4 linked regions of the Oryza sativa Japonica Group genome follow. The main gene of each other region encodes a partner of the protein of the gene in region 3 in a complex. Links are inferred from orthologs where the notes say so. Each region holds a gene or a part of one and is shown on either strand. Other genes may lie near its edges. The genes, in order: NAD(P)H-quinone oxidoreductase subunit S, chloroplastic; ndhK; NAD(P)H-quinone oxidoreductase subunit N, chloroplastic; photosynthetic NDH subunit of subcomplex B 5, chloroplastic.

Evidence for each region.
Region 1: NAD(P)H-quinone oxidoreductase subunit N, chloroplastic (region 3) and NAD(P)H-quinone oxidoreductase subunit S, chloroplastic share a complex: the UniProt entries of both Arabidopsis thaliana proteins name them as parts of the chloroplast NDH complex. The link is inferred for Oryza sativa Japonica Group from reciprocal best matches to the Arabidopsis thaliana genes NdhN and NdhS.
Region 2: the proteins of NAD(P)H-quinone oxidoreductase subunit N, chloroplastic (region 3) and ndhK are in contact, whole or in part, in a cryo-EM structure (PDB 7WFG), measured with the Arabidopsis thaliana proteins. The link is inferred for Oryza sativa Japonica Group from reciprocal best matches to the Arabidopsis thaliana genes NdhN and ndhK. Residues at the interface, in NP_200634.1 of Arabidopsis thaliana: Pro80, His81, Gly83, Gly84, Tyr85, Glu86, Gly87, Arg88, Leu90, Asn91, Arg92, Leu126, Lys128, Tyr142, Ala146, Pro148, Pro149; in NP_051063.1 of Arabidopsis thaliana: Ser3, Ile4, Lys5, Phe6, Pro7, Thr20, Asp24, Trp28, Thr117, Asp118, Thr151, Arg154, Lys155, Ala158, Arg159.
Region 4: NAD(P)H-quinone oxidoreductase subunit N, chloroplastic (region 3) and photosynthetic NDH subunit of subcomplex B 5, chloroplastic share a complex: the UniProt entries of both Arabidopsis thaliana proteins name them as parts of the chloroplast NDH complex. The link is inferred for Oryza sativa Japonica Group from reciprocal best matches to the Arabidopsis thaliana genes NdhN and PnsB5.

Annotation. Positions count from the first base shown.
Region 1 is NC_089041.1:5,275,061-5,282,184, forward strand, and holds NAD(P)H-quinone oxidoreductase subunit S, chloroplastic, read right to left. Parts: upstream 3,314-7,124; 5' UTR 3,223-3,313; coding exon 2,485-3,222; 3' UTR 2,260-2,484; downstream 1-2,259. Other genes in the region: putative F-box protein At1g32420, read left to right, coding at 5,906-7,120. UniProt on the Arabidopsis thaliana protein: NDH shuttles electrons from NAD(P)H:plastoquinone, via FMN and iron-sulfur (Fe-S) centers, to quinones in the photosynthetic chain and possibly in a chloroplast respiratory chain.
Region 2 is NC_001320.1:44,398-51,032, forward strand, and holds ndhK (NADH dehydrogenase subunit K), read right to left. Parts: upstream 4,850-6,635; coding exon 4,172-4,849; downstream 1-4,171. Other genes in the region: rps4 (ribosomal protein S4), read right to left, coding at 413-1,018; ndhJ (NADH dehydrogenase subunit J), read right to left, coding at 3,595-4,074; ndhC (NADH dehydrogenase subunit 3), read right to left, coding at 4,903-5,265. UniProt on the Arabidopsis thaliana protein: NDH shuttles electrons from NAD(P)H:plastoquinone, via FMN and iron-sulfur (Fe-S) centers, to quinones in the photosynthetic chain and possibly in a chloroplast respiratory chain.
Region 3 is NC_089035.1:38,934,868-38,941,912, forward strand, and holds NAD(P)H-quinone oxidoreductase subunit N, chloroplastic, read right to left. Parts: upstream 3,090-7,045; 5' UTR 2,985-3,089; coding exon 2,622-2,984; intron 2,507-2,621; coding exon 2,390-2,506; intron 2,277-2,389; coding exon 2,191-2,276; intron 2,107-2,190; coding exon 2,037-2,106; 3' UTR 1,843-2,036; downstream 1-1,842. Other genes in the region: probable magnesium transporter NIPA4, read left to right, coding at 241-346, 415-539; protein DMP7, read left to right, coding at 1,141-1,824; amino acid permease 4, read right to left, coding at 6,099-6,895, 6,978-7,045. UniProt on the Arabidopsis thaliana protein: NDH shuttles electrons from NAD(P)H:plastoquinone, via FMN and iron-sulfur (Fe-S) centers, to quinones in the photosynthetic chain and possibly in a chloroplast respiratory chain.
Region 4 is NC_089035.1:41,425,435-41,433,734, reverse strand, and holds photosynthetic NDH subunit of subcomplex B 5, chloroplastic, read right to left. Parts: upstream 5,300-8,300; 5' UTR 4,522-5,299; coding exon 4,240-4,521; intron 4,075-4,239; coding exon 4,020-4,074; intron 3,892-4,019; coding exon 3,823-3,891; intron 3,681-3,822; coding exon 3,622-3,680; intron 3,520-3,621; coding exon 3,283-3,519; 3' UTR 2,939-3,282; downstream 1-2,938. Other genes in the region: serine/threonine-protein kinase-like protein ACR4, read left to right, coding at 796-946, 1,034-1,215, 1,434-1,560, 1,652-1,723, 1,864-2,047, 2,197-2,311, 2,446-2,709; uncharacterized protein, read right to left, coding at 5,448-5,546, 5,729-5,839, 5,932-5,991, 6,092-6,209, 6,469-6,569, 6,647-6,718, 6,818-6,905, 7,036-7,104 and 5 more. UniProt on the Arabidopsis thaliana protein: NDH shuttles electrons from NAD(P)H:plastoquinone, via FMN and iron-sulfur (Fe-S) centers, to quinones in the photosynthetic chain and possibly in a chloroplast respiratory chain.

The sequences.
Region 1 (7,124 bases), on a different chromosome or scaffold from region 3:
TTACAATTAGGTGGCAGTAAGAAAGAAAAATGAATTCAGGCATGCATGCTGAACTGGTTAACAGGGCTAGCAGTCCTTACTAAATCTTAACATTACGCCTTATGCCTTGATTTGACAACCCTGATTGATTTTACATTTCTATTATATATAGCAATATTTCTGAAAGCAAACACCCAGAAATATTTTAGCAGGCATTTTGATATGGAACTTCTTGGCAGAAAACATTAGAGAGTTGTAAACTAAAGTGCATGTTGTAAGTTCTAATTATATGTGCATACTAATAGTGCTCAACATTTCCCATCTACTTTGCCCAAATTGCCAGCTCAATGCCTTCATTTAATTTCCAAAGTATCTAGTCAACATACATCACCATTTACTGCCCTCCTAACTGCCATGATTAGATCACCATGGTAAGCTGCTATGGTGATGTGTAGTATTTGGAAAGAAGTGTTGCTTCAGGATGACATGTATAGCAACCAAAATGATCCAAAATTGTAAGGGTTAGCCCTACAACACTTGTATTTTGCATAGGTGCTCTGCAATTTATAGAACGAATCAAATAGCCTACAAATATCCTTTACCAACAAATAAACCTCAATTTATCGGCATCAACTCTAGGGTATCCTTCTAAAAGACTCAAAAAAATATCAGTAATTCACAAGAATAGAGAATTGTATAGAATAATTAGAATTATCAAATCTCACCAAACAATCAAAAAAGAATAATCATCCCCAACAATTCACACTCGGCTATGTTGCCAACATGGTTGAAGAGCACTGGATTTTATTTTATTTTATAACGAAAGTGAGACAACACAACTTTTGATTGAAGTGTTCCCATCTATTGAAACAATGGTACAGTAATTCTAATATGTGAGTTGCGGTACAAATATTATGTTTGGAGAACAGGTTGGGTATGATAAATACCAGAAACAAGCCGAGAGAGTGAGTTGGTGTGATATCCCCTTGTGGTTCAGATAATTGTCTGCAAGCGTGTAGTAAACAAATCGTTAGAGAAAAAACATGAATCCAGTAGAAAACAAGTTTCTTAACCACATTCTAATACCAATATAATATAAAGAACTGTTGATTTGTTTATTCGGCAAACTGCAACACATTAATTAATCTGAAAGTTTCATATTCACCCCTTCCAGCCCATATGGCAGAAGAATACATGCAAAAGAGTAGCCAGATTGCAAAATAGAAGATGATTTTGGGCATTTTCACCTTACCTGTTGGTACTTCTGCTTTTTTGTCCAGAAGACGGTGGTCGAGGGAAGGTAGAGGCCAATCATTGCATTGGCGGAGCCTGTGGACGACAGCGAGAAGGGAAACATGGATGTACTCCGGCGGCAGGGACGGGAGGGGCCGACCTCGGCGGCGGCGGATGGGGCTGAGGTCGGATCTGGCCGCGACGGTAGGGAAGAAGCCGGATTTGGCGGCGGCAGCAGAAGATGTCGGCGTGGGCAGCGGCTCCGGTGAGGATGCGGCAGCAGTACGCGCGGGGAGGAGCTCCGGCGACGGCGAGGATGCGGCGGCGCTACATGCGGGGAGGAGGAGGAGCGAGCGAGGAGGAGAAGCGAAGTCCGTGCGTGGAGGAGGAGCGAAGTCTTCGCGTGTGGAGGAGGAGGAGTGAAGTTTGGGCGTGGAATCGTGCGGTGGTGAATTCGTGCGCGCGGATGGACGGTAGGGATTAATCCGAGTGATTTGGCTCGTAGGATTGGAGGGGTACAACTCCTTTTTATATTAGTATAGATATAGATATAGATGGTGGTAATCAATACAAATTGTACTCTGTTTGCAAAACACTATATCATTATTGTTACTTCACTGTCTTCCTTTACCATCCTTTTAAATCTGCTGCTACACTTATTCCTGAGTAAGGCAGGTTATATAGAAGTAAAGGCCCTATCTTTTCATATACTCTTTCAAATAAACAAAAATCATGGGAAACCAGCTATCAGGCAAACGTAAACTACAATGCATAGATAGTTGCTGTGCGAAATACTGCGGGATTTTGAAGTCATGTCAGGAATAACGAACACTTGAACATTCATACTCTGTACAATTTACAATCATGAAAGCCTGGTTACCTGACTGTCATAGCCTCTTCGCTTCAAGAAGCAAGAGATGATAATTCAAGTTTGTAAAAAAAAAAATTAATCCTACCAACATAATGAACTATGGCAACTGGTGCCCTTGTAGGCATTTCACTAGCAATCCGGACCAAACGTGATCAAATTGATCAAACATATAGCAATTCAACAAAGAAGCTAAACTTTTATCTCCGAATCGTTTGTTTCATAGTGCCAATTCACACTAAGATTCCAACTGTACATATAGCAATTAACAACAACACATTTACTCACTTCGAAATTACTCATCGAATAGATAATATATATATATATACCCCTTTCACTTCCATCATCTAAGAAAATATAGATAGCTGTATACATACAAGAAGAAGCAGAAGCAGCAATGGTGGTCAAGCCGCGGCGGCGGTGCCTTCCTCCTCCTTCTTCTTCTTGGCCTCCTCTCCCTCCTCCTCCTTGGCCACATCGTCCTCCATCTCCGCGGCGAGGGACTCGAGCAGCACGGACTTAGGGTTCACCATGGGCGGGCCCTTCTCCCTCCCCTCGAGCTCGTCGAGATCGAAGGTGATGAGCCTGTCCCAGATCCCCCCCTCGAACAGCACCCCGACCTTGCCGTCGGTGACGCGCTGCACGATGCCGCAGTACATGTGGTAGGCGTTGTTGGGGTTCTTGACGAGCACCACCATCCCGGGGAGGAACAGCGGCAGCTCCGGCGCCCTCGGCCGCTCCACCGTGGCGGCGGCGGCGAGACCTTTCCTGTGCGCCGGCTTGGGGGGAGGCGGGTTCTTGGCGACGAAGTCCTTGAGGCCGACCTCGCCGCCGGGGAATCCGCCGGTGAGGCCCATCATCTCCTTGTCGAACGCGTCCGGGTCCACCCCGGACGCAGCCGGCGGCGGCGGTGGCGACTCCGCGGGCTCGTCGGAAGAAGTGGTGGTGGATGGCGGCGCGGCGGGGGAGTCGGAGGCGAGCTCCTTGCGGATGCCGACCTCGCCGTTGCAGAGACCCCGGCCGCCGAGGAGGTCAGCGACGCGGAAGGTCGCCGAGGGAGGGGGCAGGCGGACGATGCGGGGGTGGTGGTGGTGGGGCAGCGGCGGCGGGCGGAGGAAGGAGGCGGGGGTGGTGGGCGCCATTGGTGGAGCAGAGCGGAGCAGAGGATGTGTGGAAGTGACGAAGCCTTTAAAGCCTAGGTGGATGAGGACCGGGGGTGGCTAATGGGCGACTGGTACTGCTATACGGAGTACAGTATATACTTAAAGTACTACTAGTACTACTACCACTGTACTACTTTAAACTACTACTCCCTCCGTTTCATAATATAAATTATTCTAGCATTTATTACACGTTAACATCAATATGAATATGAAAAATACTAGAATGACTTACATTGTAAAACGGAGGAAGTAGTAGTAACTGGAGTACTACTAACTACTACTACTAAGGCTGTGTTTAGATCCAAAGTTTGGATCTAAACTTCAGTCCTTTTCTATCACATCAATCTATCATACACACATAACTTTTCAGTCACATCATCTTCAATTTCAACCAAAATCTAAACTTTACTCTAGAATAAACACAGCTAACTAGAACTAGTACTAGTACTACTAGTACTGGTAACTAGGACCACTACACCACTACTACTGTTATTATATACTACTAGTACTATTTAAAAAATATATTTTATATGTAAATATATACGCATATACAAAAGTTTATATATAACGTATAACAAAGTTTATGATATATATACAAACTTTATATATGTTCATTTTAAAAAATAAAAAAAAATAGAGGAAAACCATCACGTATATAAATTTTATATATACACTATACGCATATATATAAACTTTATATACGTATGTATATAAACTTTGTATACTGTATATACAAACTTTATATATGTGATGTTTTTTTTTTAAAAAAACAAAGAACCGAAGAAAACAACCATAAAAACCGGCGAAAAAAAAAGAACGCGGGCCTCCCACTGTGCGCGGCCGCCGCGCCCCCTCCCCCTCCTACGCGCGCCACGCGTCCATCCGCGCGGGGTGAGGGGGCACGCGACCAGTCGCCAATTAGGAATTTCGGATGAGGACCTCGTGTTTTTCGACTGAAAATTTTACATTTAAGCCCCTTTTTATTTTTTTTCATAAATAGGCCCCTAAAGTTACTATCCGTAAGAAATACTTCCTCCGTAAAAAAAAACCCAACCTAAGAGGAGATGTAGTGTCCAGATTCGTTGTACTGGGAGGGGTCAAATCCCCTCTTAGGTTGGTTTCTTTGGGATGGAGAGAATCACAAAATAACTCAATCTAGATTCGTTGTCTTAGAATATGTAACATCCTATCCTATATTGAGTTATTTTGGGACGGAGGGAGTAGACGACGAGCCCAAATCACGTCAAATGTGGTATAAGATCTTCACAGTCTACCTCTCAGCCAACTCATGTAGTAGTTAGCTCTTAACTATAAACTATATGGTTCCCATGTTTCTCTCACATATTTTCTTGGTTCCTATGCCTAAGCTAGTTTTAAGCATACCACTCGCTTTCCCTCTCTCTCTCCTCTCTCATCCACGTTAGCATTCAACCTTCTAACGGCCTTTTATTATACTTGCTCTTACAGTGAAAGGTACTACTAAGGCTGTGTTCCCTCACCTCTCGCACAGAAAACAGAGCGATGGATTAGTGCGTGATTAATTAAGTATTAGCTAAAAAAATTAAAAATAGGTTAGTATGATTTTTTAAAGAAGCTTTCCTATAGAAAATATTTTTTAAAAAATACCGATTAGCAATTTGGAAAGTGTGCGCGCGGAAAACGAGGAGGAGAGGATGGGAATAGGCAGTGCCAAACACAGCCTAAGAGGAATCTAGTATGTCATATCGGATGAGGCTTCTTTAAAGATTCCAGCACCACAAGCTAGGCCATCCTCACAACGCTGCTTCCCGCCAGATTCCAACTCTCTTCCTAGCTGCTTTTTCATATAGGTTCCATCTTCCCACCTGCTTTTTTTAGCTTTTTTTCAGAGGAAGCACTCGTGTCCATGCAAAGCACCGAGTATCTATGCCAAGGTCCGAGGGCCCACACCTTCTCTTCTCCACGGCATCATACGGCTTAGATGGAGCGGCGAATCCACTCGACATCAAGGCGCACTGTGAACAGCCTCATGGGAAGAGAGATCGACATTAGTCTTATTGGCGCCGAGCCATTTAACCTAGGGGCCAGCCTCTAAAAAGGGCTCCAGAAAAGGATTCATTTCTGAAAATAGTTTTTTAAGATCTATTTATGAAAATAGTCTAAAAGAAAAGCTAAATTGTAAAAATTTCAGTGTTCCTCGAGCTCCTCTGCTTTATGGTCTTTCATGGGCCAGCCCCAAACACACTAATCAAATGGACCGTTCTCCTTTGTGGGTTTCCATGGGCCCTACCCAAACGAAACCTCCAGATGGGCCGTACTCTCGGCTGCCCATGGGCCGGGCCCCAACGGAACGCACGGATAGGTTGGGCTTGGGCTGGATTGGACATGACGCCATTTGAAGGCCCATCCAGACAGCGAGAGCGGCGCCGCGGCCGCTACTTCTACCCGCCGCCGCCTCTCCACTCCACTCCACTCCTCATCCACTCCCTCTCGCCGCCGCCTGCGACCTCGCCGCCGCGCCCGCCTCACCTCACCTCGCCGGAGTTCCCCCACGGTACGCTCCCTTTCCCTTCTCTCGCGCCGCCGTCCGGATCCGCCGTGTCGTAATCACCGCGTTCTATAAGAGGAGGATTTCTCACGATTTGGTGGTTTTACGTAGATCGGGGGGCATCCGGGGTGGGCGATGGCGCCGCCCGGGACGAGCAGGAGGAGGGGGCGGCGTGGTCGTCGGGCGGCGGGCCGGTGCGCGGGGCTGCCCCTCGACGCGCTGTTCGAGATCATGCTGCGGCTGCCGGCGAGGGACGTCTGCCGCCTCCGCGCCGTCTGCCGGTCGTGGCGCGCCGTGGCCTCCGACCGGGCCTTCGTCGACGCGCACGCCTCCCGCCACCCGGGCCCGTACGTCGCCGCGTGCTTCTCCGATGAAGCCGACGGCGGCGACGGCGACGAGTCCTGCGGCGGCGTCGACATCGTCGACCTGTCCTCCGGCGACATCGTCAAGACTATTTACACCGAAGTCAGTGGATCCAGAGTGCAGCGCACGCGCCTCGACCTCGTCTGCCTCGTTGAAGGGCCTAGCCCCTTGGATGTCACCGTGCTGGATCCGGTCACCGGTGCTACCTACATCCCGGCAAAGAGTATCTCTGCGGATAATAAGGATTTGCTGAGTTCAGGCCGTCTCATAATGGAATCCTGTGCTTTTGGGAAGGTCCCCTCTACAGGAGAGTACAAGGTGGTCCGTCTCCTTGGTTCTGGTAATCCATGTGAGCTATACGAGTGCGAGATCATGACCGTGAACAGTGCTGGCGCTTTGCAATGGAGGGCGATACAAGGACCTCAGTTGCCTGTTTGTTCAAGTAACAATATGAGAAGTGTGGTCATCAATGGGGTTGCGTATTTCCTGTTAGATTATTCGAGGCTCTATTGCTCAAATGATGGCTTGCTTATTCGACCAGGTAACATAGTTCCATTTGACCTTGAGACGGAGGAATGGATGGGTATTCTAAACGGACCGAAACCAGTCGCCAGGGGACGGGATATGATTGTTATCTCCTCAACCTTGGAAATTATGGAGCCCCTCTCGCTAGCCGACTTGAATGGGTCCTTAGTGATGGTGCATGCTGTATACGGTTCCCCCATGGACCTGTGGTTTCTGTCAGATCTTGAGCAAGGACTCTGGGTTAAGAAGTACAGCATAGATTTCGAATACTATAATAACAATGCTTATCCTTTGCTGCTGTTAGACGATGAGAAGATTGTCTTCCTACTGCGGGGAACTAATGTTCTACAAAGTTATGATCTAAAGGATGACACATACACTGATATATTGGTGGTGCCAGATTTCAGATCCGTTGGCATTTATACTGGAGATCTATTGAGCTTGGAGGGTGGTCTGAACTGATTAT
Region 2 (6,635 bases), on a different chromosome or scaffold from region 3:
CGCTATTCACTCAGTTTTTTTTCCATAATAAGATTATGGAGGAGAGATGGCCGAGCGGTTCAAGGCGTAGCATTGGAACTGCTATGTAGACTTTTGTTTACCGAGGGTTCGAATCCCTCTCTTTCCGTTTTTCTTAATTCAGCAACGTTAATGATTACAATGTATCAAATCAAATGACAATTTATTCCAGCAATAATACAATACCTTTATTTAATAGAAATTCTCTATACCAAATTACTATGGTATGTAAAATACACATAGAGGAAAGAACAAAAAACAAAAAGGAATCCTAGGGTTAATCCATTTCTGTTAGGTGAATGGGAAAATACGAATTAAGAGCCTTAGGTCGATTTAGTTCGGGGAAAGGGGAAGGGAAGAAAAATTCTATGAACCTTTCCGTTTTTCCTTAAGTTCAAGTTTGACGAGAGTAATATTCTACAACTAACAACTCATTTATTTTGAGACCGACCCACTTCCTATCCAGGATTTTTTTTACTAGTCCTTTATATTGCAATGTGTCAATCGTCAAATGCTTTGGCAATTTCCCCGGGTCGGATGAAGCAATAGAATTTTGAACCAGACGTTTTGATCTTTGGTTATCCTTCGTAGTAATAATATCTCGGGGTTTGCAACGAAAACTTGGTATATCGACTATACGACCATTAACTAAAATATGTCTATGGTTAACTAATTGCCGGGCCTCGGGAATGGTTGAAGCCATACCTAATCGAAAAAGGATATTATCCAAACGCATTTCAAGTAATTGTAGTAAAACCTGACCTGTTGAACTTTTTGCTTTTCCAGCGATATGTACATATCTAAGTAATTGTCGTTCTGTCAGACCATAATGAAAACGCAATTTCTGTTTTTCTTGAAGACGAATACGATATTGTTCTTTTTTCCCAGAATGGAATTTCTTTTTCAGATTACTTCCGGATTTAGGTGTTTTTCTAGTGAGTCCTGGTAAAGCTCCCAGACGGCGTATTTTTTTAAAACGAGGTCCTCGATAACGGGACATGAAGACTCCTTTTTTTATTGAAATTTCATTTTACACAATTAATTTCATTGTATTTACATTACAGAATACATCGAAATTAAAACTGAATTAAAGTAAAGGATAAACAGAGTAAAATCTACTAAAAGTACCACAAAAAAATGGAATTTCATCAACATCTGAATTTTTGTATATATATTATTTATTTTATTGTTTTGTATCTAGCAAAATTGTAGGGTAGACCGACATAATAGATCCTGGCTTCTCCATTTAATTCGGAGAAAAAGAGGTATTTTTGTTCATGGAACATTGATAGAGAAAAAAGCCGACTATCGGATTTGAACCGATGACCCTCGCATTACAAATGCGATGCTCTAACCTCTGAGCTAAGTGGGCTTACATAACAGAAATAGTGTAACAAATAGAAATATGTATAGTATAGGAAATCCGTAAAATGTCAGATCTTAATTATTAATCTTAGCTATTAACTAGTTCGAAATTGGAAGTTCTACTTAGAAAAAAATACTAGAACTTCATAAAATAAAGTTAGATAGATTTTTTTGAACTTTCTTTTTTCTCTAATTCGCAAATCTATTTTTCTAATAGAATCTATTCCAATTTCTATATTGAATTTGATTTTAGATATTTTTAATTTGATATGGCTCGGACGAATAATCTAATACATGGAAAAGAATAAATAATATATATTATATACGAAAACATAATAAAGAGAACATGCGAATTTCTTGTATTTTCAGTCCATCATTATAGACATTTTTTGAGATTATTTTGTTTTTTTTTGTTATTTGCTAATAATTTAATGATTAATATTTCACTAAGGAGAACATAGAATCATAGCAAATGAAATTGCTAATTCTGATTAGCAAAAAAAAAGAATGAATATCAAGCGTTATAGTATGATTTTGAATACTCTAAAAAAGGAACGCGGTAGGTGGGGGAGAGAAAAACCTTGGGATATATTGATTCGCATTGAATTGCAAATACATCAACGATAGAATCAATTCAATGCTGAATTGCAATAAGCGGAGTCTCTCAACTAGAGACGAACCGCTAGACTACATAGAGTAATGAATTCAACGATTCAAAAAAAACTAACAGATGGAGGAAATTGCACAAGGAATCCTGGTCTCAAAGAAAAAGAAAATGGGGATATGGCGAAATCGGTAGACGCTACGGACTTGATTGTATTGAGCCTTGGTATGGAAACCTGCTAAGTGGCAACTTCCAAATTCAGAGAAACCCTGGAATTAAAAAAGGGGCAATCCTGAGCCAAATCCATGTTTTGAGAAAACAAGCGGTTCTCGAACTAGAACCCAAAGGAAAAGGATAGGTGCAGAGACTCAATGGAAGCTGTTCTAACGAATCGAGTTAATTACGTTGTGTTGCTAGCGGAACTCCCTTCTAAATTAGGGAAAGAAGGGCTTTCGAAATCTAATACCACGTATAGATACTGGCATAGCAAACGATTAATCACAGAACTCATATCATAATATAGGTTCTTTAATTCTTTTTTAAAATGAAAATAGGAATGATTATGAAATAGAAAATTCATAATTTTTTTAGAATTGTTGTGAATCCATTCCAATCGAATATTGAGTAATCAAATCCTTCAATTCATAGTTTTCGAAATCTTTTTAAAAGCGGATTAATCGGACGAGGATAAAGAGAGAGTCCCATTCTACATGTCAATACTGACAACAATGAAATTTCTAGTAAAAGCAAAATCCGTCGACTTTCTAAGTCGTGAGGGTTCAAGTCCCTCTATCCCCAAACCCTCTTTTATTCCTAACTCTAGTATTTATCCTGTTTTTTTATTAATAGGTTTAAGATTCAATGGAATACATTTCTTTTTTATTATAGTATCGGCAAGGAATGTCGATTATTAACTCGATATTTAAATATTATTAAATAGGCTTTCTTTGTACAATGCATAGGACTGCCCCCTCCCCATTTCCAAATTTTGGATATTGACATAGATACAAATACTCTACTAGGATGATGCACAAGAAAAGGTCAGGATAGCTCAGTTGGTAGAGCAGAGGACTGAAAATCCTCGTGTCACCAGTTCAAATCTGGTTCCTGGCACAGAAAAAAGGGATCTTCCGAATAGGTATTGATACAAATACCTCGAGATGGGTTGGGATACATATTCGTTAATAATATAGATAGAGTATGATTTTTTCATCTAAGTAGATAAATCTCTAAATAGAGGCACTTCTTTTTCTGCATTTTTGCATTTCTTAATTTTCTATTCCGCTATTCCGACAAATATTTTTTTATTCTTGCTTATCTTATCTTACTTTACTAGTTGTTCTAAGTAATGCACGCGGTACAAAGTTCGTGGTAGGGAACTTCTTTGAGTCATCATATTTTTCTGTTCATACGAAGGAAATGAATATGTGATTTTCCAACGAAATGAAGCCCTTTTTTGCTTAGTCTATCTGAACCTTTTGTATAATTGGAATTAATTAGAATGTAATAGGTATTCTGTTTCATCTAGGAACAGAGCGTAAAAATATTCCTTGACTTGCATAAAATCTGGAGTTGTGTTGTATAAGTGAGCATGAATTTCTTATCATTCAATGAGCATCTTGTATTTCATAGAAATTGGGGGTTATATAGTCCTTACGTAAGGGCCAGCCTATCCAACTTTCAGGCATTAGGATACGTTTAAGGCGTGGATGATTATCATAAGAGATTCCCACCATATCAAAAGATTCGCGTTCTTGAAAATCGGAACTTCTCCAAATCCAGAAGACAGATGGGATTCTAGGATTATCCTTTTGGGCAAAGACTTTTATGCATACTTCTTCTGGGTTATCTATACCATACTGTATTCTCGTAAGATGATACACGCTAGCTAAAGATCCACCGGGTGCAACGTCATAAGCACATTGGGAACGTAAATAATTGTAACCATATACATATAAAATGACAGCAATGGAATCCCAATCCTCTGCTTTTATTTGCAAAGTCTCTATTCCTCGATGATCGAAGCCCAAAGATCTATGAACCACCTCATGTTTGACTAGCCAATTAGATAACCAACCCTGCTGCATTATCTTGATCTCTCCTCCTTTGTATAAATATTTCGCAGTTCGAATGCAAGTTTGAAATATTGCCCTGCTCTTTCTTTTTCGGCACAAAGAGCTCCTCCTAATTCACTAATTTGTAGGAAGATACTGGACTTTTGGATTTGAAAAAAGTTTCAGAAGATATGTCTAAAGTAGATGGTGATTGATAGAGCAATTCTTGCTCATAAGTTCCAGTATTAGTACTGCGCCGAACATAAAGCTTGTGGCTGGTAGTAAAACATCGATTTTTCTTTTGAGATAGAGTTCGATCCTCAACTATTTCTCGCGATATCTTCTTACGAAGTTTTGTTAGGGCATCTATAACAGCCTCTGGTTTAGGTGGGCAACCCGGCAAGTAGACGTCCACAGGAATTAACTTATCAACTCCCCGAACAGTACTATAGGAATCCGTACTGAACATTCCACCAGTAATAGTACAAGCTCCCATAGCAATGACGTATTTTGGTTCAGGCATTTGCTCATATAATCTCACTAAAGAGGGAGCCATTTTCATTGTTACTGTACCGGCTGTTAAAATTAGGTCCGCTTGCCTAGGACTTGATCTTGGTACCAATCCATAACGATCAAAGTCGAATCGTGAGCCTATTAATGAAGCAAATTCAATGAAACAACAACTGGTACCATATAGAAGGGGCCATAAACTAGAGAGTCTTGACCAATTCGAAAGATCTTTTAGTGTAGTTGAAATAACGGAATTGGAACTTCTTTGGTCAAGTAGGGGAAACTCAATCAAACTCATAACTGTCTTAATGGAATCTTTTCCTTCTTTTTTTTTTTTGTCTGAATATTCAGTTAAGACCATTCCAAGGCTCCTTTTCGCCATGCATAAACTAAACCAACAACTAGGATAAGCACGAAAATGAAAGCTTCGATAAAAACGGATATACCCAATACGTCGAAACTCATTGCCCAAGGGTAGAGAAAGACCGTTTCCACATCAAAAACAACAAAAACTAGCGCAAACATGTAATAGCGTATTCGGAATTGTAACCAAGCCCCCCCCATGGGTTCTATACCCGATTCATAACTAGAAAGCTTCTCTGGTCCTTCACGAACCGGAGCTAAAAGTGCTGAAATCCAAAATGCTAAAATAGGAATAAGGCTTGCTATTATTAGAAATGCCCAAAAAATATCATATTCGTGAAGCAGAAACATAAATGTACTCCCATTAATGTGGAATAGGCGGAACTGAATTAGTCAATTCAAGTCAGCATTGTCAATTTATACAGAATTTCTCTCTTTTCCTCGGTGAAACAAGGATCGGTTTTTCTCAAACCAAAGGCTTAGTTTAGCCTTTGTTTCCTCTTTGCCACGTCTTCTTTAAAGATTCATCCAATGGAATCCCGACCCCCTTTCTTTTTGATTTCCTTTCTATTTAGGTATGGTGGAGACATAATTCTTATAGAAACAAAACTCTCTCGCTTCACTTTGTCTCATTTTCTCTAGAATCTCTAGAAAAAGGAATAAAAACGAAAATACTACGAATTAGAGCCTAATTAAGATAGGATGACTAATGTATGCAGCCTAATGAGGAGTAATTCTATAAAAATAAAGAACTCTATTTCAGAACGTAGATTGATTTAGATTTAGGTAATCTATAGATATAGATAAGCAAAGTAATATACTTCAAACAAAGTAGGAATTTGCAAGATGGAGAACATCTTGCAGTTGATTTGATAGAAATTCATTTTTCTTTTCCTGTCTCTATAATTTTCGATGAATGAGCCTCTGGTAATCCTTTTATCTCTATTTTATGGCGCAGGCGCCTGTCCAGTCTATAAACAAGTACTAATAGGGAAATGAAAACTATACTAAAGGAAACGTAGGATATCTCTCCTAAAATCTAAAAAAGGACATATTAGGGCTATACGGATTCGAACCGTAGACCTTCTCGGTAAAACAGATCAAACGGATTATTATCGAAATGATTCGAACTGTTTCAAAGACCCAACATGCATTTTTTTTGCATTGGGCTCTTTTATCAACTGATAGAAAGATCAGTTAGTCCACCATAGTTTTTCTTTACGGAAAGATAATGAGATGGCTCCCTGCGCTCTGATTGATTATTTGTATTATGATCTATCTAAGAGCAATACCAAAGTGTTTCAAAGGAGGATTACCTTGACTTAGGTCTCGCCGGCCTAAATTAAATCAACCTAAGTGAAATAGAGTCTCTATCGTTCCGCTACAAGAGTTGACTATGAGACTTCATACACCTTAAAGTTCATAGAACGAAAAGAATTTTTTTGGAGGCCCTTATCCTCATTAAGCCTAGCATTTAGTGGGCTGGATATTTACCTTATCAACTAGCAAATCAATAAAGGTTCTATTTGTTTAGGCACCTGGATTGGTACCTGAATCGGACTGAACCAACTATTTGTCAGGCGACTGTTCTCCTATTCTCTCGAATCCATGAAGTAAGACGTTGATTTTGCAAGAAGATCCACTATGTTCATTGCATAATAAGCTCCCTTGAAAAGCATTGGCGCACGTGTAAACGAGTTGCTCTACCGAACTGAGCTATA
Region 3 (7,045 bases):
ATAGAATCTTTATATAATTTTGAGCCTTGTGGTTGTGGTCAATATTATGCCTTGCAGCCTGTCCCATCTAACTTAAATATAAACTAAAATATAAAATACTTCTTGCAGTCTGCAAAACTTAAATATAAACTATCACTGCTGTCCACTGTCCTATCAGTTATACATGTAGCGGTGGAAACCTGCTGTGCTTAGTGAACAAGCTCAAGTTGTGTTGTGGATAACTAATATACTTGCATGCAGGACTGGGATCGTCAAAATCCAACTCAAATTGTGACAGAGATGTGTGGTTTTGTTACCATCCTTTCTGGGACGTTTCTTCTTCACAAGACGAAAGATATGGTCGATGGTATGATTTCATACTCTTTCTTTAATTTGCAAAAAATATGTTTGTGAATTCTCACTCTGGCCTCGTAGGACTCCCACCAACTCTACCTATCCGAATACCGAAACATGATGAAGATGGCTATGCGGCTGAAGGCATCCCCCTCAGGTCTGCTGCTGAAGGCCTCCCTCTTAGGTCACCAAGAGCAGCAGAATGATTTTGACCAGCGAACTGCAAGCAATCCCAGCCATTCTTTCATTCCATACAAATTGTAGATGTACTTTAGGTCTTATAAGGTAAAAGCTCGGCTCCCCTGTAATTTTTGAGACATCGGTACAGATTGGGGATAGATACCCCTTATACATCTCAAGATACCCAGAATGGGTTAGAATCAAAAAGGTTTTTTGGATGTAAATCCCGGGTGATGGTCTGATAGATGCATATGCCGTTCTTTGGAACTGTTGTATTCTTTGAAATGAACAATTAGAAGTAGGAAGAGCAACTCCAAGAAGATACCATTGCTGATTTCCGTCAAGAACCTTTTTTTTTTACCTCCCCTTCATTCAGGCTGCTGGATCTATTTTCATTATCTGTTGCTGTGATGTTCTTAGCTTCTATGTGGGGGCAAAGGTTCGGTTGGCTCGGTACTCTTGCTGAAGCAATCCTTTCTTCCTTGCCTAAGTTCATGAGTACCGAAAGGTGGATTCTTTTCAGTTTCTTGTTTATTTAGTTGTTTCAGCTCACTCTTTTAACTAACCTTCTCTCATCATCCCAAGTCCCCCAACAAGCTCGTGCATACACTCATACAGCCCCTACCAATGGCTGAGAAAGAAGAATGCAAGGTGCTCATCGATCAAGCCAGCAACGAAGCTGGTGATCCACACCAAGACGACGACTGCGAAGACGAAGACGACGACGATAGCTCGAGCCTCATCCTGCTGACCAACCTCATCCTGAGCGGCACGGCGCGGCTCAACGTCCTCCTCCCCACCGCCACCATCCTCGCCTTCGCCATCTTCGCGCCCCTCCTCACCGACGACGGCAAGTGCACCCGCCTCAACCGCGCCCTCACCGGCGCCCTCATGCTCCTCTGCGCTGCCTCCTGCGTCTTCTTCACGCTCACCGACAGCTTCCGCTCCCCCACCGGCCGCCTCCGGTACGGCATCGCCACGACGAGCGGCATCCGCACGTTCTGCGTCGGCGGCCGGCGTCGCCGGCGGGGCGGCGGGAAGGCGGGGCCGAGGGAGCCGGAGAGGTACAGGCTGCGGTGGTCGGACCTCTTCCACACCGCCCTGGCCCTCGTCGCCTTCGTCACGTTCGCCGCGTCGCACCACGACATCGTGCTGTGCTACTACCCCGGCGTGCCCAGGAAGGTGGTGAACACGGTGCCCCTCGTGATCGGCTTCGTGGTCAGCCTCCTCTTCGTGCTCTTCCCGTCCAAGAGGAGGGGAATCGGGTACCCGTTCCTGCTCAGCACCGACCTTGTCTACCTACGCCGCTGATGAGACGAAAGGATCGCATGGTCTTCTGATGGATTTGTATTATGTGAAAGTTTGATTTTACATGGTTGTCTTGGGGTAATTTGAGCCAAAATGTATGTACATTCTTCATTGCCTCTCTCAAGTGAAGTACAAAGCGGGAAACAATGTGTGTTGGATGAGATATATATCAAGTAACTTTGTTTCAGGCTGCCTGTTAATGGTCTTGATCTTGTTCATTCCTCTGCGTCAGGGTCCGGCTCAAGGCCCGCGATTTGCTTCAGCGGCTTCCACACAAATTTCCTCCTGGGCCAAACAGGGCACAGAATTTAATTCAGAGATCACAAGAACACATCGTCATCATTAATTTCGGGGTTCAGGTTTACGTACCAGTTGCCGCATTCCGCGATCACCCTGACTTTGGGGCGGATGTCAGGGAGAATGGCGAGGAACTGCAGCTCGGCCTTGGAGAGAACCTGCAGAAATAGAAACCACCAAACAAATTAACGGGACGCAGAAACGAAACGGGAAATTGCAGAGCTGAGCTAGAGAACAGGATGGTGAGATCGATGGATCAATGGATGGAGACCTTGGCTTCCATGACCCAGACGACGAGGCCCTTGGCGTCCGGGTGCAGCAAGCTGAGCCTGTAGTCCACCTCCGGCGGGAAGTACCACCTCGCCACCGGCTGCCTCCCGAGGCTCGGCTGCGCACATCAGAGCAATCAAGCAAGCAAGCTCGTGTCAGCCATGATCGGAGGCAGCTAGCTACTAGCTAGCTCGAGATCGAGATCGAGAGAGAGGATTGTTTTGTGGACTGACCGGGCAGACGGGGTGGATCTTGGTGAGGGTGGTCTCGGGGTCGCCGAGGCCGCGGGCGGAGAGGTCGAGGAAGTAGTAGCCCTGGTAGCTGAGGCGGCTGAGGTAGCGGCCCTCGTAGCCGCCCTCGTGCGGCGGGTAGATGGCCAGCGACTTGTGCTTCTCCACGTCGTCCAGCCACCGCCCCATGTCCGGCTTCACCAGGTCCCCTCCCACGAAGTCCCACAGCCCTGCCCGCGCCGCCGTCGTGCTCGCCGCCCGACCATTGCCCACCCGCGCCCACGCCCCGCGCCGCTGCTGATGCTGCTGCAGGGGCGACGCCGCCGGCAGCGGGGTCACCGTGCGCGCCGCCGCCGCCGACCACATCGCTGGTTGCTGTAGTGTAGTGTGTGTGGGTGGGTGGGTGTCGTTTGTTTGAGCCTGTGGCGGGAAGATAACAGCCGCGCGCGTACTGACCGCGTTGAGCGGATAAGACTCGGAGACGGTGTCGTGCGCCCAGTTTGTTCAACTGAGCGGTGATCTCCGCGGAGTCCACCCAAGCGGATGGTCCGAGACGTGGCCCAAGCATGTAACCACGCTAGATCAGGCCCAAATACGAACCCCAACACCAGAAAGCCGTAACCCGTAAGTTCCATTGATAGAGTAGGAAAAAAAATACAAGATTACAATGTTGTAATATTGTAACCAAGAAAAATGAAAAAAAGTACATCACCACCCACACACCGATAGCACCAACACAAAATCAAGATAAGGCTATCACCGGGCCAGCCGCCGCTAAGCGTGACCGACCACCACTAGGCCAACAACGAAACACAGCCGAGATTTTGCCCAAACCCGACCCTTACAACCAACGCAAAACCACTCTATCCAAGTCTTCGGGATTTAGGGAGAGGGTGAGAGAGAAGAATGAAATTCCTCTTCCCTTAGTCCCTTCGACATGGCCAACTTGCAGAAACTAGAACGCTGTCACAAGAGGATGAGAATCTAGAGTGAGCTTGCACCAAAAGCTTGAGGGTTTCAACAAGGTGATGCCTAGACGATGTTTCTAGTTTCTACCACGAAAACGGAGAGAAGTGATGAAACATCGCCGCCACAGTCTATCAAGATCTCAAATCGAACCAAGACTAGGCTTTCGCCCGACAACTACACTTGAGGGTGAGATGGCATAACAACGGCCTTAGGAGGGGAATGACGCTCGAACATCATCGTTGCTGGTCTGGCCAAGACCGGGCTAGGATTTCACGCAGCCTCCCGCACCTCCACCGCCGTCACCGTCGCCCACAATCGTCGCCGTCCGGATCCGGCCGTAGTGGCGCCGGTCCTCGCCCGCCGCCGCTAGATCCAGGCACGGATCTAGCGGTCTCCTCCTCCGCCGCCGCCAACACCTCCAATCGTTGCGCCCGACCACTCTGCCCCACCGCCAGATCCAGCCGGGCGTAGAGATGGCAATGGGGGCCCGTTCACCATTTCCCCGCGGTGAATTCACCTATTAGGTGACAGGGGATGGTTAATATCCACTCACCATGGGGAATGAAATGGTTAAAAACCTCTCACCATCGGGGATGACGGGGGCGGGGACGGTGAACCATTCCCCGTCCCCGCCCTCCACTGTGACCCGACTGTACTGTACAAGGGAGGAATTCTAGACTTTTTAGATGTATTGGCCCATAATATTGAAGCCCATTTGACAGGCATATATATGATCTAACCCTAAGTCAACAGGTCAAACTCCCACCCATCCAGATCCACACCACACCAGCGGCCAAACACCACCCGACCCGAGTCACGCGCGCCGCCATTCGCCAGCCACCACCGGCGCCGTTTGCCAGCCACCACGCGCGCCTCCACTCGCTGCCTTCTCTCGCCGGGAGACTGAAGCTGCCGTCGCCATGGACTGAAGCCACCGTTGCCAGCTGCCTTCGTCAACGCGCCGCCGGGCCGGCGCGGCGCCTGCAGCCGTCTTCACCGGGAGCCGCCGGCAACCTCCGTTGCCGGGAGCCGCCGTCGCCGCCGGCAGCCTCCTTCTTCACCAGGAGCAGCCTCCTCCTTCTGTAATTTGCTGATTTGTTGAGTGGAGCATTTTGGATATATTTGATATAATGTGACTGAATATGTTGTTTAACCGGGGACGGGTTCACCACAAGGAAAAATTCACCGCGTGGTGAACGGGGCTGGAGAAATTATAGCCCCGTCGTGGTTGATGGAGGCGGGGACGGTGAAATATTTTCACTGCGGTGACGGGGACGCGGGCATGACCCCCGACGGTGAATTCACCATTGCCATCTCTAGCCGGGCGGCACGGATCAGCGCGGTTTCCGCCGCCCCCAGCCCCCCACTCCTTGAGCACGACGAGGAAAAAACGAAGTCCTGCTGCCGCCATCCTTGCGGCCGTGCGGCTTTATCGGTGACCGCTCGGGTGGTGGCGAGGCGGAGGAGGAAGGAAGGGGAGACAGGCGACGGCGAGGTCGCCTCCCGTGTCGTCCGTGGGGATGTACCTGAGGATTAGTAGCTTCGTTAATTACGGTTAACTTTTTGGGCATGCGTGTGATACGCACATTCTCTGGCCTTGGTTAACCATCTCGTATCAGTGGCCTACAGTTGCACAAAAGAAACCTGGTACGCAAATTTCTCGTCCTAGCACATACTCGAGTGTTTTTCTTTTCCTAAACAAAAGAGCACCTAAAAGATGCCTGCCTAATCACTCCCTAACCTCCAGAGTTCAGTGCGAGATGAAGGTTTTAGACTTTAAATACAACCACGTGACAGAAACATTTGCTAACTGGGCACCACCAAAGAGAAAAGGAAAAGGCGATAAACATTTTAGTACCAGCCGCAGAATCTTCTTCCCCCACTCTCCATTGATGGCGACTGCAGAGGTCCAGGCTCCATGAAGAGCAGAGAGCCAGCACGAACCCACTGAAGAGTGTCGACTTGGCAATGGCAGAATGGTAGAATCCAACTCACTAGAAAAAGCGAGATCCCGTCTCAAAGTGTGCTTGCTTGGGATCTCTCAGCTTTTTACGTGCCATGGAGCCTCCGAGATTCTTCCTTGTTGCAGTATCCATGGTGCTTTCTTCTCTCTTTTCTTTCTTTTACCTATGGTGGAAGGAAGAGGAGAGGAAGATTCTTTCATCTTGGTGGATTCAATCACTTGAAAAAAAAAAAGGAACGGTGAGTGCATTTTAGCGCCAAAGTTGGCTGAGATTGTGAGGTTGGTGCCAGGACATGACTGATAAGAGGAGTTCATAGTACAGAGAGGCACTTCCATTTCCTTATCTTTTTCCTTCATAAATTATCTTTTACAGTACATCAACAGTGACACGCACTTACACTTTTTTTTCCCTTAGCGTCTGATCACTGCTCCTTTTTTTTCGTTTTGGGTTTAATCGTGTGAAGTGAATTTGGTTTTCCTTCTACGAGAAGGGCAATTTTGATTTTTTTGACGTGTCGTTCTGGGTGCGTACGTGATCCGATCAGTTATCAGTAACCCTTGAACGGGCGGTAAACCTTGAGATCCGACATGACGCCGGCGATGGAGCCCGCGGCGGCGGCGATGGAGATGACGAGGCAGCCGACGCTGAGCATCTGCAGGCACACCCACCGTGTGCTCCACCGTGGCACCTTCTTCTGCACCACGTACATCTCCACGGGGAAGTAGACGGTGAGCGGCCAGAATCCGAGCGCGCCGAGGAAGCCGACCACGTCGTTGAAGAAGGGCAGCAGCATGGACACCACCGTGGTGGCGACGACGAACGCCGTGCGCCACGTCGACCGGAACAGGTTCACCCTGCACCGCCTCGACGACGGCGAGAGGCGGAGCTCCACCTCCCCGGTGATGTACGGCGACTCCGGCCACCGCTGCGCCGCCCACTTCTCGACGAAGGCGAAGAGCGGCTGGCAGAACACCTGGTAGGCGCCGACGAGGTGGACGACGATGGCGGCGTTGGCGATGTCGAGGAGCCAGAAGGGCTCGTAGAAGCCGAACCCGGTGAGGAGGTTCCCCGGCGCGTCGTCGCCGAACGCCGCGTACCCCATGCTGCCGCAGAGCATGTAGAACACCGTGGTCACCGCCACGCTCACCACCGTGGCGCGCTTCATCACCGCCGACTCCGACGGCGGCGGCGCCCGGATGGTGTCCTGGATCTCGATGAGGATCAGCGAGTAGGAGTAGGCGAACGCGATGTCGCCGAACGCCTGCAGGCTCCTCCACACCTTGTCCATCGGCGTCACCACGCCGATGCTGATCCCGGTCAGGCTTCCCTTCAACCCTCCGTTCGCTGCACACCGCGACGCCATGCTTGTCAGCGCAACGAACACATTGATCAAGAAGCTTTGGATGATGGATCATGGCGTGCGTACCGACGACTTGGACGATGCCGAGGCTGAGGCCGATGACGGAGTAGGTGAAGGACATGACGGCGGCGAGC
Region 4 (8,300 bases), about 2.5 Mb from region 3:
ATTTAGTAGAAGAGGATCTCTATTTTTATACAATGCTGAAGCCAATAATTTGTTTTCGCATATAGTCATTTTGTCCCCCCCCCCCCCCAATTTAGTACAGACCTTTGAATTTGTGAGATTCCTTGTGCTTGTGTAGCATGAGAATTTAGTAGTGTAGAGATGGTTTCTTCAAACATATTTATGGCGCGGAAAATTTCAATTAAAGGGATTGGCATGAAAAAAAAAGCCAAAGGCAATTATTTTATTGCGCAATATTAACTCCGAATGTCCGACAAACCCGCGTTGTTCCATTTGATATCACAGTTGTCCTTCTTTGGGCTTATGTAGTAATGATGGCTTGGTTCATACTACTGATGTCAGCATTGTCTTGCACTTTCCTAATTTACAACTGCTGCTAAAAACCTACAAGAATTAAACATGTCTGATGAACCAAAGAATTGATGAAGTCAACCATATCAGCCATGCATAATTTTATCCCACCCTCCATTAGAACATTAAATAAATATGTCATGTGCTGACAATCAGTCCAGAATTTTGGGGTCAAACATATTATCATTGAAGTAAATCACTTGATCGATCCATCCATCCATACAATGTGCATTTTTTTTGTTAGTGTTCTAAGATTATTTAGTTTATTGTGTAAGGTTGCACTTTTGGTTCAGCAATGTCTGAATTATTGTTCTTATGATCTCAAAGAATGTACTTCTCTTTAGGTTATATGTCTACCATTACAAACTTCATCACTATCACTACAAACATTGACAGTCCATTCTGAAGAAGGGGATTTCATACTAGATGTCAGCAATTCTTGCAGCATCTCTAGCAGGTGCTGCAGGATTCTTGGCATTAGTAGGCGCCGCCATATTTCTTATAGTACTTTTCCTCCGGCACCGCAGAAGAGCTTCAGACTCTTCGGAAAGTAGTTCATCCAGTCCAGCTCAACCAGGTACCGCTTAAAATATCATCTCAAGAGGCTCTGAATTTCAATGATTCTGTTTCTAACTTGACAAACAGCATTCTATATATATACCAGAGCTGCAGGGAGCAAGATGTATGACTCTGGAGGAGCTAAGTTCAGCTACAAGGAACTTCAGCAATGTGAATCTTATTGGACATGGAATGTTTGGAGAGGTTTACAAGGGTTTACTCCAGGATGGCACAATTGTAGCCATTAAAAAGCGACATTCTCCTCCTAGCCATGAATTTATTCATGAGGTGCCAAAATTTTCTCCTTATCCACAGATTCTCTAAAGTAGCCATTGGTTCTAAATTGATATAGTGGTGTAAGCATGCAAGAGGAAAGAAATAAAACTGCTTTCCTTTTCCACTAAAAAAAGTCAAACCATTTTTTCTCCACATAATTCAAAATATTTTAGAAAAAAGAACTTGCAAGACAGTAACCATTTACTCATGAATTGTCCTTTTGTCTGAAGGTTAATTATCTATCGTCGATCCGTCATCGTAACCTTGTAAACCTTTTGGGGTACTGCCAGGAGAATGGAATGCAGATGCTTGTTTACGAGTATGTTCCCAATGGCAGCGTTTCTACGCATTTACATGGTGATTTTTCATTGTGTTTTCCTAACACTGTTACCGTGTTCAACAAGAGCATCATAGGTGCTAATATCATTTTTTTTTTGGTGTCCCACAGGTAGCAGCCATGCTCCAGGTGTAAAGCTAGAATTCAAGCAGAGACTTTCCATTGCTCATGGAGCTGCTAAAGGTCAGTCTCTTCATGTACACCAGCTCTAAACTTTCTTATCCTGGCGAAAATCATAATCAAGAAATTAACATCCATCCATGATGAAAGATAGTATTAGCTGCTCATTTTTGCAGCAGCATAATGATCTTCCTTTTATTCAGGCCTAAATCACCTGCATTCTCTGACACCTCCCACGGTCCATATGAACTTCAAAACGGCCAACGTCCTTGTGGATGAAGATCTCATACCCAAAGTTGCAGATGCCGGCATCCGTGCCCTGCTAGATCGATTAGGCGGTGTAGGCCCTTCATCGAGAACATCTTACGATCCTTTCCTTGATCCCAGGTAAGTCATAAGTTTTTCTTAGAAATTATGTTCAGTGGATAGTACAGAACTATCTGCTTTAGTGCTTTGTATGTGGTTCTTGCAAAAGTACCAATTTTTTATCAGCAACTGGTGATTGAGTAGAGTGAAACTTCTTTTTTTCATGACAGAATGAGGGAATCCATAAATTTTTCCATTCAAAGTGATGTATACAGTTTTGGTGTTTTCCTTGTGGAGTTGCTCAGTGGCAAGAGGGCTCTGTCTGATCAAAACATCATTCGATGGGTAAATTCCAACACTTCCAAAGTTTGCAGCTGACACACCCAATTCCTCATTTGTTAGAGGCTTTCCCTGTTCTTGTAATAATCTGTCGACCGTTGTAAAATCCGTACTAAATTTGCAGTTTTGCTGATACGCAGGTGCAGAACTTCCAACAATCAAGTGATATCTCTGCAATTGCAGATAACAGAATGGCCAGTGCCTATACCTCAGAAGGCATGAGAGAATTTCTGCGGTTGACATCGTGGTGCGTGAACCCGACGAGCGAGCATCGCCCATCGATGAACTTGGTGGAGGCGGAGATAAACCGAATTCGCGAGCAAGAGATGAGGATGACCACAATCATGCCAGAAAGCACACCAACTGTGACTCTAGGTAGTCAGCTCTTCACAACATCAGGTTGAAGAAGAACTAGCTAGTTTCCTCTCATCATCAGAGTTATAGACTAGCAATTCCCTTTCCATTTATTATTTCTCTCTCTCTTTTCTTTGGTCTTCATAGTGATTCAGCTGTAACTCAAGTGTACAAAAAAGGAACAGCTGTGAGGTTCCCTTTATTCCTTTTCCTGTACAAGAAAAGAATGATATTTCCTTTTCTTTTACATATTGATAATATTGGAGGCTGATGCCAAAGTTATTCCATTATACTACTATATATATCTATTGAATTAGTGATGTCATTCACAGGATTTTCTCCATTACATTGGGGGGAAAACAAAATACACATGACAGAATTTTCAGTCTCCTTTTGTACCTGGCTGAGAACTTCAGAGTTGAGACTGTCAGAGACATAGAAAGCAGGCCTTACAGTAGATGAGATGATCCATACACACATCATTTCATCTCAAAGTTCTTTATTTTGAAGAGACTCATCTTGCAGCTTTGCCACCCTGCTTTTCTTTGGAGTGGTTCTGATTTTCTGAACTGTTTCTGCAGCTGCATCTAACAAATGTGACCCCCCATTTCTGAATACCATATCTAAGACGATTTCACAATCTCATCTCTTCTGTCGACGGTGAAGTCCCAGAGCTCGCCGTACTTCTCGTTGAAGTCCCAGATGTCCATGGTGTTGTAGTCGGCGATGAGCTTGTCGCGAGCCGATCTCTCCATCATGTAGATCTCCGGCTCAAAGTTGTGTGGCTTGTCCGGTTTGTCCATCTCGATAACGCAGAACACGACGACGAACACTGCTGCGCCGATGTAGAGGTACTCCCCCTAGTGGCAGAAGTAGACACATATTCAGAGAGCTCAAGAGCCAAGACAGATTGTGAAATGTGATACATGTCAGTAGGCTGGAACTACTGCTCAATATGTTACCGGAACATTGAAGGCCATGCCAAGGATGATTGCAGGAGGAAACAACCAGGAGATCAGTGCTGCAAGAGATGGCCCATCAGTGCAAATTGAGCAAGCTTGTCTTAAGAGAAGAAAGATCTGATTTTTTTTCTCTGATTTATCTGAAAGAATCTGATTTTTCTCTGATTTATCCAAGTGAGAAAGGAATTTGGCTGTTACTACCTTGGAAGCCCTGAGGAGGTTCAGCTTCTTGGTACCACTCAGAGACATCCTCCCAAAAGCCCTTCTTATCTTCAGTGTCAAATGATTTTTTTTTCCACATCATATCACATAAGAATCAGAAATTAGCACACATGAGCATGATTACGCATTTTGATTCAAGGAATGGATAACTGGATAAGATAGCCCAGAAAAAGAACCTTGGGTTTCATTATATGTGTGGTGACCATCATACACTCCATACTCGAAGTCGTCCTGCAAAGCAGATTCTTTTCAGTGTCAAAACCATTTCTTCAGACAACACAGCACAGCAGCAGCAATCACTGAAGAAAGAATCAAAGAAACCATGGAAACTGCTTGGAATAGAGAAAAATAATGAAATTCTCAACACGGTGGCCGGCGACGGCGAGGAGGACAGACCGGGCTGACGCCGTTGGTGCGCCACTTATCAATGGGGTCCTCGTTCAGGTCGGGCTCGATCTCCGTCAGTGGCCCGGGCCCCGCCCTCGCCACCACCGCCCGGCCTCTGCTCCGGCAGCAGCAGCAGCCGCCATGCTCCGTCTTTAGCTGCCTCGCTGCTACTGCTGCTGCTGCTGCTGCTCCTGTTGCTGTTGCTGCATCGTCATGACGAAGGCGAGCTTTTGCAGTGGCAGACGGTGACGCAGAAATGGCGGACACCAAGCTGCTGCTGCTGCTCATCATCTCGCTCCAAACGCTGAGCTCTGCTGCTCGCTTCTTGCTTAGCTGGTAGCTGCTGCTGCACTTATACTTTGCTGCAAGGAGACAAAAACAAGAGGATAATGGGTATGGGGCATGTACCGTCCAGGATTTTTCGCTGCTTTTTTCCTCTTTTCTTTCTTTTTCTTCATGCCTGGAAAGAAATCTGCATCACCTCATTAGTCAGTCAGTAATCAGGTCAGATATGCATGATAATCTTGTGAATGAATAGAACTAGTATTTGTTAGTACTACATTATTGCATTCTGATGAATCTGAATTGTTAGCAACAGCAAGCACAGAGCCTTGTGTTTTACACATCAGGAGAGACAAGGAAAAGACAACTGCAACATGAGGACATGATTTGTAAATGAAAAGAGCAGAAAAAGAACCAGCAACCCAGTGTCACTGTGTCGGACGTCACTGATTCAGTGGCTGAGATACAGTGCACCATCAGCAGCGCTTTTTCACTGCTTCAGTATGCTTTTTATGCGTCATACTTGGCTCTTGTGCCTTGAGTTAGCAGGCTGCTGCATTTCTTGTAGGAGTATTCATTAACTGAACAAACAAGGCAGCAGTTCATGAACCTCTTTCCACATTTTTTTTTACTGAAATCTTTCCACATTTTGTTCCAAGAAGAAACTAAATTTCTTACAACATGCATTAAACATTGCATAATACAGCAGGTCCTACAACAGAACAACAATAGCATATCTGCTCAACTTCCATCGGAGAATTATTCCGCAGCCGTCCAGGACCTATTGCCCCCCTAAACTGCAAAGAAATCAGTGTCAGGACTTCTTGGAGTATTCCAGAAACAATATAATGTCCCATCCAAAAAACCAGAAACAATCTAATGATGGAAGCCTAGAGTCCACCAAAGGATTACCTGGTTCAAATAGAATTGGATAACTAGCTTTGTCTGGCCTTCATAACCAGCTCTTCTGTAGTAGCGCCAATGATCTCATTGGCACGCTTCAGAGATAGACAGCATATTCTTCCAATAGAATCCTGCAAGCATCACTGGCTTTATTATCCATGATTAAAATAGAGAAAATGCGAGTAACAACATAATGGTATTTCATTTAAAAATTCTTTTAGATTCTATACATTCTGAAATTTATCTAAGTTTTTTTTGGGGATATATATCTCACTATGATTTGGTACTGCTGTAACAAGCTGTAAGAACTCACTCTTGTAATGATGCCAAGCCTCTCTAACTTCTGAACAGCATCCATCACCTCAAAATTGCATTGCAAGCCAAACTCTTCTTGGATTAACTCTTCACATTGTAAGTCAAGATCCTAGCATTGAGTGCCAAGAATATTCAACTCAATTTTTATACTTGCACAACTTCAGAAACAAAACATGCTTGTTTCAAATACCAAAGCAATACCTCAATAGTCGCCTTTCCATTTTCCATCAAAATATAGTAGGAAATTATAATCTCCTTGACCTGGACATCAGAATTCAGAAACCACAAAGATGAAAATAATTGTGAGCACAAGTCTCTGATATGCTTATTCTGAATCAAGTACTACAATATGGAGACCTACTTCCTGCTGAATCACATCATCACAGAGATGGAGAAGTGTGCCTTTCCCACTATCTAGCTGTTTGTCATACATTGATTGAGTTATTAGGTTTTGATATGTTGCCATGTTCTGTTGAAACCTGAATCAAAGGTAGCTTATTTACCAAATTTGTCCAATACAACCAATACAGCAAATAAAGTATCATCATAAATAAGAAAATGCTGAAGGAATCAGGGAAGCAAAACTGCATTTTATGGAGGTATTCTAAAGTAATTCTGGCTGGATGAGTAAACAAAAATCCTCCCTGTCCCTGCTCTATTATATACACAATGCAGATTACCGACAAGATGACAAGACGAATACCCAATCAAAACAAATATATCAACCAAGGCACTCACGATAAATAGATCTTGGCACAATATCCAGCCAGGGCAGAAAGGACGGCAACTACAACCCAGAAATCAGCTTTAGGCATTTCGAGCGAACTGACAAGTGTAACCTGAGCAATGTGAAAAAAATAATCATCAGGTGATGAATCACAACCCAATCAAGTGCAACCAGTTCCAGTCCACTTACAAGTCCAATGACAACAGAAACAATAAACTGAACCCAGTCCATTGGTGTGAGGCTTGGATTTTTCTTCTCAGGCTGCAACAGTCATAATTTCTCTTCAGCATAAGTCCAATTGAAGAAAGCAATATGGATGTCACCACATTATTCTTTGGCATATTAAGCTTCTACACTTACCAAAACCAGCTCCATATCTGCCATTGGAATATTTTTGAAGTGCTTTACATGAATTGATCTATCATTCTGGCCCTTAGGGCTTTTCCTCCTGAAAGAACAGTCAGAAATCAGTTATAACACAGTAGTTCAAGACATCATGAAAGCAGCCAATTCACAACCAGGGCGCACCCGAAAAAGGTTTCCTGCATCCTCAGATGCAAATAATTTACGGGACTTACCTGTACAAGACAATCACCTCTTCAAATGTAGGCTCTTGAATTGTAACCTTGCCAATTAAGTTGCGCAAGCTACAGAACAAGGAAGGAAATATCAAATATGAGTGGAGAAGACAAGCAATAGCAAGTTTTCAGGAACTGTGATGGCCTAAAAGGTCAAGAATAGCACAAACCTCAAATTCATTGTTTCAAGTCGTATGCGTTCAACATATAGCTCCTTGTCCTCTTCTTCACCAACTAGATCATCATTCTTCTTGGAATCTGTCTTTGGCCTAACACTTTTCTTTCTTGAGAAGAGCTTTTGCAGTCTAAAATTTCATTGTGAAAATAGTTAATCTTTTGGACGATCAAGATAAAATGGACATGAAAATACATATGTAGTGGATAGCGCACCTTGTTTTCTCCAAGAACCATCGCCACGCACGAGCTATGATCATGTCCACTTTCTCCATAAAGAAAAAGTTGCTAGTGCGATCCAGTCCAATGCCCCTCCGGAATATGACATACTGGCATATAAAAGATTATATTAGGTGTGCATATGGTTCAGGAACAATATTTGAGGATGACTTGGCCACAGCACACGGTCATTAGGAGGGCAAGCATCCAGTTCTGCTACACTAACAACACATGAAAAAAAGGAATACACTGGCTAACCATCAATTACACCACTTCAAAACCATCTTTCTCATCTTCTATAAACAAATATTCTGATAGATAACACTGAAGAGATGTAAAAGACAGAACATAATGTTAGCTACTCACCTTATCTGAGAACTCCGGTAGGTTGTCGTGATGGTGCTCTTTAAAATACTTTGACAAAAGTTTGTTATCTAACTGCACCAGTAAAAAACAAATTTTACAATAATATTGTCAAATCCAATGATTTTTAGATTAGGACACAGCCTGGAGGGAGAGGATGTTAACCTTTGCTTCATCAACTTTGATGGGAAGATTCAGCAGATATTGTCCAGAATGAGCAAGCTCAACCTCATCATCTGATAATATGTTGAAATTGCTTTTTTGCATCACCTGCACCAAGATTTCATACAATTTATTGTGTAATATTGTGGATATATCTGGGTCCCTTGTAATACTTATTAAGAAATATCCTGATCATTCATGTGTAGTTGAGACATATAATAGTTCCATCTCCCAAACAGTTTGTTTACCTGAAAGAAATAGGTCAGGAAGTTCTGCTCGAGTGTATCGACTTCCTCAGTCGAGAAATTCTGCTGTTGCAGTTTTTGGGCACCATGAACAGGGTCAAA